2 separate regions of the Mus musculus genome follow, and region 2 is reported to be linked to region 1. The links are microRNA targets in miRTarBase. Many come from high-throughput screens and were not tested one by one. Region 1 holds a microRNA gene; the other region holds the end of a gene's coding sequence.

Region 1 (4,251 bases):
ATTAACACATGAAACAGAATGAGAAAGTGGGGTAAAAAATGTGCCTGAGTCCTTTCAACTTTATGAATTTGAAACTTAAAATAGAACCGGGCGTTTTTTTTTTTTTAACCTATAGTTCTTTGGGCGAGCACCATCAGCACCTGAGACTGGGTTACAAAGGCAAATCCTGAGGGCTCACCTGATGACAGTCACTCTCTGGAGATGGGACTGGCAGGGTTTTCAGTAGTGATAAAACCAAAGACTCAACGCAAACTTAAATTCCAGTTATATTCAAATGTTCCTTCAAGACATACCCTATAAAATTTGTTTTCAGCTCAGTGGGGGAAGGGCACTTGCCATCGGGCCTAAGAAATCTAAGATGTATGTCCATGACCCACATGACTAGCTCCCTACAGTTGTTCTCAAATCACCACATGACACACACACTAAATAAGTAGATAGATAGATAGATAGATAGATAGATAGATAGATAGATAGATAGATAGATAAATGTATGTAAATGCTGGAAGTCTAGGAGTGGAGGGGTGCCTACCTTTAATCTCAGCATTCTAGAAGCAGAAACACACAGATCTCCGCAAGTTCAAGGCTAGCCTAGTTTACAAATTGAGTTCCAAGCTAACCAGAGCTACATACCAAGACGCTATTTTAGAAAAGCCAATAGTATTGCTAATTTAAAAAGAGAGCCATTGCCATATCCAGGGATCCATCCCATAATCAGCTTCCAAACGCTGACACCATTGCATACACTAGCAAGATTTTCCTGAAAGGACCCAGATATAGCTGTCTCTTGTGAGACTATGCTGGGGCCTAGCAAACACAGAAGTGGATGATCACAGTCAGCTATTGGATGGATCACAGGGTCCCCAATGGAGGAGCTAGAGAAAGTACCCAAGGAGCTAAAGGGATCTGCAACCCTATAGGTGGAACAACAATATGAACTAACCAGTACCCCGGAGCTCTTGTCTCTAGCTGCATATGTATCAAAAGATGGCCTAGTCAGCCATCACTGGAAAGAGAGGCCCTTTGGACTTGCAAACTTTATATGCCCCAGTACAGGGGAACGCCAGGGCCAAAAAGGGGGAGTGGGTGGGTAGGGGAGTGGGGGTGGGTGGGTATGGGGGACTTTTGGGATAGCATTGGAAATGTAAACGAGGAAAATACCTAATAAAAAAAAAGAGAGAAAAAAAAGAGAGCCCCAGGCTGGAGAGATGGCTCAGTGGTTAAGAGCACTGACTGCTCTTCCAGCGGTACTGAGTTCAAATCCCAGCAACCACATGGTGGCTCACAACCATCTGGAATGGGGTCTGATGCCACCTTCTGGTGTCTATGGAGACAGCTACAGTGTACTTGTCATATAATAAATAAATAAATAAATAAATAAATAGAATCTTTTAAAAAAGAAAAAAGAAACCCATTTTTTTTCAGACTTATATATCAGCTTTATTTTGCAAATTTCAGGTTTGTTTACATTCAGTGCAATCAAAATGTCAGGATTTCAAATATATTTAAAAATATGTAGTTTTAAAAAATTAGACTCCAAGCTGGGCGTGGTGGCGCACGCCTTTGATCCCAGCACTTGGGAGGCAGAGGCAGGCAGATTTCTGAGTTCGAGGCCACCCTGAGTGAGTTCCAGGACAGCCAGGGCTATACAGAGAAACTCTGTCTTGAAAAACCAAAAAAAAAAAAAAAAAATCCACTCCAAATGTGTTCAAAGCAATGACTAGCTAAAGGATTTTACAATCTTACTATAGCACTGATAGACGGCTGTCCACATAGGTCCTGCGGTTTACAGATGGATACCGTGCAATTTTCCTCCTATTACACCAACCAAAATTGCATCGTGTTCCACCTGATAACAGCAAAACAGTTCATTTCATAATTACAGTCTAACATAACTTACAATACTCAGAAACTAAAAGACGATTAAAAACCCTCTTTCTTCCTCAGGCCGGGACAAGTGCAATACTTTATATCTAACACAAGTAATGCCACCAATCCCCACCTGTGGATGAATGGGCATGGATGCTGAAGATGTGCATAAAGGTGTCCATTACGATGCAGAAAGGTACACATTCCCACAATCAGTTTTGCATGGATTTGCACAGCCATATATTCACATATACGCTGAACTGCAAATCTGCAAAACTAATCGTAAGTAGCAATGTCCTTGCGCTGTAGTTGCTTCAACAAGACCTTGGTTGATCCAGGAGTACTAGAAGTGCTCACACTGCAGTAGAGTGGTATAAAAACTACCTGCACTATGAGCACTTTGGCACTACTAGGATCCGAGCTTGTTCTTCTACACAACTGTATACTACAGTCTCCGCCATCTGTTTCTCGGCGAAACACTGAAAGAGCCTTTGAAACTTGTGCCGTTCAAATCATTTCTCAAGATATGCTTTTCAAATGCAAGGTAAGAAGTAGCCTGTGCGAGAAGGGGCATTTAGGGCAGTAGATTGTAAGCTGCTTCACTAACAGCACTAGATGCACCTTAACACAAGAGACACATTACAAGGAGCAGCTCAAAAACATCCACAATCTAACTATGCAGAAACCAGGGGACTCAGCGGCCTCTGATTAAATCACCATGGTAATGTAAGAAGTGCTGGCACTGCAGTAGAACTCAAAAAGCTACCTGCACTGTTAGCACTTTGACATGGCCAAGGCATACTCCAGGAGTGTAACCTTGAAGTCTTCCACGAACTCTTCTTTGCCAGATCTGCAGACTCACCTGGATAAACACACACACACACACACAGCAAGTAAGTGAACTGTGAGTTACTATTTCTAAAACAAGTTTGCCTTCCGTTAAGAGTGCAAATGGGGTTGTGTTACTTCAAACATTAATAAGCTCAATTATTTACACAGACTTAAACATGAATAACACTGGCAATCTCAGAATGTCTGACTCTTAAGAGTAAGAGGATTTTGGACTCCCTCTCCGTCTAAGGAAATTTGAGATTCGCATCCCAGAAAATTTGCAGAGCTGTAATATCCACCATGGTTTTCTAAGAGGCAAGAGCCCAGGAAAAGATGTAAGCAAAAAAATAAATAAATAACATTAGGGTGAGTACTGACGTCTTGAGCTCATCCAGAGCTTTGGGGAGCCACTCGGAAGGTCTCTATGTTTGATTACATGAAGCATCCCTGCCCCCAGCCCATTAAGAGAAAATGATAGAAATTTCAGAGCCGCTTTAAGAAACAGTTTTACACTCTTCACATACCGCACAGATGGCCTAGAGATGTCACATTTTCATCTATTTCAAAGGGCTCTACTTCTGTTTAAACATTTATGGACCCATTTTCTCCATTAAACCTAAAGAAGTCAGATTAGCTCTTTGGCTTCATGTCATTATCTTCCACAGGAAAAACCTCTCTCATTTCCAAGTGTGTATCTTACCCAGGAAAATGCTGCAGAGGACAGTCTGAGGGGTCACGAGCTCCCTCCCTCCCATGATGGAATGTTTGTGTTGATGGGGGGACACCAATAAACTTCAGGGACACAAAACTTGAAATGTGTTCAATGAGAAAGGATATTTTAAATGTTGGAACTTTTCGAAGCCACTTAGTGACTAAGATAGTTCTTAAAACATTTTAAATATAAATTAGCAAAACTTTTGAAGTAAATATGAAATCTGCTTCCTATAGTGCAAGTATTGGCTTATTATACTTTTCTTCTTGAACTGGGTTCCTACAACTAGAGATTTTTGCCTCCACTAAAAATATATTACAAAACCTGACTCAACTTCGCAAAACCATACCTCAGCCCTCCAGAGAAAGCTCCTTCTAGCTAATACCTTTCTTTAACACATCTGCTCTCCATCATATATACTAGAAAGTCGCTGTACAACTTCTAAAATTGCAAAGAGGACCCAGTCTTTTACCATTTCGGGATTTTCTCTGGTCTATTCCCGCATCTTCAGCAGCGGCTCCAGTAGAGATCTGTGAACCTCCTGGGAACGCAGGGTGTGCTCCAGCCAGTCATGCCACGCGCTTAGGTCTTCAAGACACCTTAGCGGCCACCAAAATTAAACAGAAAGAAACAAAGCATTATGGGAAACGGAGTTCTCCATTCAAAGCCCCCAAAACGCGCCAAGCTTAAGCCTCTCCCTCCATTCTCGGGTTGGTGGGAGGGAAACCAAGGTAGGTCGGGAGTCCTCCCGCCCCACACCCCACGTGCACCCTGGCATTTGACCACCCACAAGTTCTCCAGAAACCTTCAGAGCAACAAGGGAGAGTCCTTTTCTCACG
Region 2 (4,251 bases), not on the chromosome of region 1:
CAAGAAAGCCCCGCAGACCCCGAAAAGAACCTGTCCTGAGCCCCGAGGACGAAGCACATATCTTTGATGCCTTCGATGCCTCGTTTAAAGATGACTTTGAGGGTGTCCCCGTGTTTGTCCCTTTTCAGAGGAAGAAGCCCTATGAGTGTGGTGAATGTGGACGGATCTTTAAACACAAGACAGATCACATTCGCCACCAGAGAGTTCACACTGGAGAGAAGCCCTTTAAGTGTGACCAGTGTGGGAAGACCTTCAGGCACAGCTCAGATGTCACCAAACATCAAAGAATTCACACCGGTGAGAAGCCCTTTAAATGTGGGGAGTGTGGAAAAGCCTTCAACTGTGGTTCTAACCTTCTAAAACACCAGAAAACGCACACTGGAGAGAAACCTTATGGCTGTGAGGAGTGTGGAAAATCCTTCGCCTACAGCTCCTGCCTCATCCGGCATCGGAAGCGTCATCCGAGGAAGAAGCACTGAGCAGGGCGGTCTACAGCTATGGATCCTTGTCAAACACCTGATGATGGTCCAGAGGTCTTACGCAGTATGCTCATCCAGCCACCCATCTGTCATTGAGAGGAAAATCTACCCATCAGACATGAGAGCCCACAGAGGCTTTCTGCCCTTCGAGTCTTCACTTAGTAGTAACATGGTGCTTCCCGGAGCTTCCTGAAGCTCCAGCCATTTTCCAGACTACTTTATGTTACTCAGGGCCATCTTTGGAACAGTTTTGGGTCGCTGAGAACTTTGTAGAGCTAAAGAGACACCCCTGTTGGCAAGGGCCACTGCCTTCCTTTGCTGCCTCTGTCTGCACCAACCACGGTGCTTTTGTCTCTTCTCTTGAAGACTTCTGACTCTGTATGCTCAGCCCCATGCTGTCTGCTAGGGCGAGGAACCCTGAGGTGGATGACAGGCAGCATTCTGACCAACTCTGAGGACAGCACCAAGTCCTGCTTGCTCATCTCTGTGCAGCTGACTTCAGTGATCCTAGAGTTTCACTCTTCTGGCTGAAACCACAGTCTTTGAGCTCAACCCTTGGGCCTAGAGCTGGGTTACACTGCTTTCTCTTGTCCCAGCCACATCGTAGACAAGTAGCCTGGATCCATCCAAAGCCTCAGCAGACCCTGGCACCCTGGCATAGTGGCAGGTTTCTTAGGCTAGGCCTTGTAGCTCCAGGGTGCCATCAGTAGCTTCTGCCCACTGCACCTTGAAAAACAACTGTGGCCCCACCCCACAGCAGCCTGCCATTCCGGTCAATTCCACTTCCTGCTGGTCAGCAGGGCAAGACCACGTGACTCTGTCTACTGTCTGCCCCACGATGATGCTGTGTGAGGTCTGTGTTCTAAAGACAGCAAGTGACTGCTGACCAGGAGGGTAAGTTGGGGGGAAAGTTGGCAGCGATTTGGACATAAAGTAACGAATAATGGCTTTGGTCTTTGGGGCGTCTGCCCTGAAGAAAGGGTCCCAGAAAGAGGACTCAGCCAGAAGTAGAGAAGGGCTTGTCAGCAGGTACAGAAACCATGAGAGGGCACTGCCCAAACGATGCAGGTGGTTATGTTCCCTGGTTGGAATGTTTGACCAGGTGTGGTAATCTGCATGGTCAACCTGACTGGATCTAGAATCACCTAGGAGACACATCAGGTGTGTCTGTGAGGGTGTTGCCAGGGAGATTTAACGGAAGAGGGAAGACCTACCTAAATGTCGGTAGCGCCATCACACAGGCTCGAGTCCTAGACTGAATTCAAAAGGAGAAAGCTGGGCCATGGAGACAGCTCAGCAGGCAAAGGCACTTGCTTCTCACAGAAGCCTGACAATTGAGTTCAGTCCTGGAACCCATGCAAAAGATGGCAATGGAGACCCAGCTCTTCAGAATTGTCCTCTGACCTCCCCCATGCTTCAGAATTGTCCTCTGACCTCCCCCCTGCCCTCCATGCAGACAGCACTAGAGACATACACAGAGGTTTAAAAAGAAAAGCCCGACATTCATCTCTCTGCTTCCCAACTGTAGTAATTTGACCAGTCGTGTCACACTCCCCACAATGATGGTCTGTATCCCTTCAAACCAGGAGCCAAAGAAACCCTTAAGTTGCTTTTTCAGACAGTTGCCACAATGACAAGGTTAGCCGTCCTCTTTCTAGAAGCTGAAACAACACTGTGTGTCTCTGGTGCCTCCTGTGGCACTGACCTGGCCAGGTTTGCTGATGCACTGTTAGGAAGTGCAAGCCGGGGCTGCTGTTGGACCAGGCTGCTTTTACTGCCCCTCCCTCCTCATGGAGCAGAACCTTCCAGGTCGAGGTTTTCCCACACTGCACTCTCCTTATGCAAGCATCCCCGGGAGTATTTTACCAGTCTTGATCCCCATGGGAGAGGAAGGCTTAATCTAATATGAAAATCTAATGAGGTGAAATTGTGAGAAGATGAGTATCAGCTGGTGTAGGAGCTACATGGCATACTTGGGCAGCATGGTCTTGGAATAGAGGGGTTACCCACAAACTCTAGGGACATTGGAAGCCTGGAATGCTGCCAGGTGGCAAGGCAGCATCCTGCTCCCAGCCTGTAGCCCTGTCCTTAAGGATGTGTGCTAAGGTTTTAGGGTACAGGATTTCAGTTCCCTCAGTATTGAGGGGAAACCAAAGACAGTATGTGTTCATATAATACACCCAGAGGGCCACAAAGGCAGAGTGTGTGTGTTCATATACACCCAGAGGGCCACTCCGCAGGGTGGCCCAGTGTCATTCCACATGAATTTTGTTCTTGTCTTTGCAGCCACACAGCCACTCACCTGTTCACATGCTGCACAGTCCTTACAGAGGGCACAGAATGAATGGGTGTGGCCGTGTCCTAACCAAATTTGGCAGAAAGAGGTGCTGCCATGACTTGTTTGCCAGCCCATTTGTTTTATTGTTTTATTTTGTTGAGATGGGGGTCTCACTCTAGCCCAGGTTGTCTTGGATCTCACTGTGTAGCCTGAATTGGCCTCACTCACAGTCCTGCCTAAGCCTGGAGTCATAGGCGTAAACTATCAAAATGGCTAAAATAGGGCAAAGTGCTCCCTCAGGTTCTCATTTTTACTTTGTTTAAGACAGGGTCTTGATGTGTAGCTCAGGCTGCTGAGAACTAACTGTGTAGCCTAGACTGACGGCCTTAAACTCTCCATGATTCTCTGCTTGAGCTTCTAGAGTACTGGGCTTTATAGGCATGCACCACCACACGTGATTCTGACCCCTATTCTTCATGAGGATGTAAGAGAGTTGGAGCCACAGAGAGCTTGCAGGCTTGGTGTGCCAAGCCCTCTGTAAGCCTAGCCCTTCCTTCAGAGCTAGAGCTAGCTGTTGGTCAGAAAGCTGGCTTAAGGACATCTGGAGCCCTGGGTGCCAGAACTAGACTGCAGCAGTTTGATGTTCCAGAAGAGTGACAATGTGGACACAGACTTTACAACAATGGAGATTAGTCAAACACAACCCAAGGCTGCCTGCATTGTCTGATTTGATTCGATTTGTGCAGTGCTCTGATAACTCTTGTCACTTTGCATGGCTGCATAAAGAGCCCTTAACTTAAAGAGAAACATAGCTGATCCCAGCTCAGCCACTTCCTAACTGAGCCACATGACCCTTTCTGGATTAAATTGCAAATAATCTATTCTTTGATGTCTTCTCTACATTCAGGATGTATGGGACAGGCTCGGACAGTGCCGTTCAATCAGATAGCCCCAGGTTGGCCCTGAGAGACACTGTGGCAGTGTCTGGGTAGCATGGTTGAGTTATCCACCCCCTCTCCCCACCCACCCACACACACACAGGTTCGTTCACAGTCACTTTTTGGCTTTTGTGGTCTTGGAGATGGAACCAGGATTTTGTGAGTGCTGGGCTGTTGCTCTGCCACTCAGCTATACCCCAGCCCAGGGTTCTTTGAGAAGAAGAATCAAGTTACTTGCATTTGGTTTGGTTTGGTTTGGATTGGTTTGTTTTGTTTTGTTTGCTTTTGAGTAGACCAGGTTGGCCTCCACTCACCAAGACCCACCTGCCTCTGCTTCCTAGGCTATGGGATTAAAGGCCCACAGCACCACACATAGCCAGAGAACCATGGTTAAAGCCAATGTCTTGACCCATGAGGAGAAAGGAGGTGGCGAGAACATGAGATGAGTCTGTCAGCTGCAGCTTTCTCCTTGCCTGGATCTGGCCATGTTGGGTGTACTGCTGAACCTTGTGTCTCAATGTACAGTGGGGATGATGGTGCCCAACTCCGAAGAATC

What was found. The annotated mature microRNA mmu-miR-19b-3p reads UGUGCAAAUCCAUGCAAAACUGA and lies in region 1 at 2,082-2,104, opposite strand. An mRNA with a match to its seed (bases 2 to 7 or 8) in the 3' UTR can be bound and repressed. Matches are read on the target gene's strand: a 7mer-m8 pairs with bases 2 to 8, a 7mer-A1 pairs with bases 2 to 7 and ends in A, and an 8mer does both.
Region 2: miRTarBase lists Zfp41 as a target of mmu-miR-19b-3p. The part of its 3' UTR that is shown has no 7-base or 8-base seed match.

What each region holds. Positions count from the first base shown.
Region 1 is chrX:52,739,910-52,744,160 of GRCm38, forward strand. It overlaps Mir19b-2 (microRNA 19b-2), which reads right to left and starts at 2,157; the gene lies at 2,074-2,157. It overlaps Mir363 (microRNA 363), which reads right to left and starts at 1,858; the gene lies at 1,784-1,858. It overlaps Mir92-2 (microRNA 92-2), which reads right to left and starts at 2,019; the gene lies at 1,929-2,019. Mir20b (microRNA 20b) reads right to left here and starts at 2,283; the gene lies at 2,204-2,283. It also overlaps Mir18b, Mir106a and Kis2.
Region 2 is chr15:75,618,319-75,622,569 of GRCm38, forward strand. Zfp41 (zinc finger protein 41) reads left to right here. Exons shown (of 3, transcript NM_001044718.2): 2 at 1-1,373. The coding sequence ends at 479. Among named protein-coding and RNA genes, the nearest start is that of Zfp41, 3.8 kb to the left of the region's middle.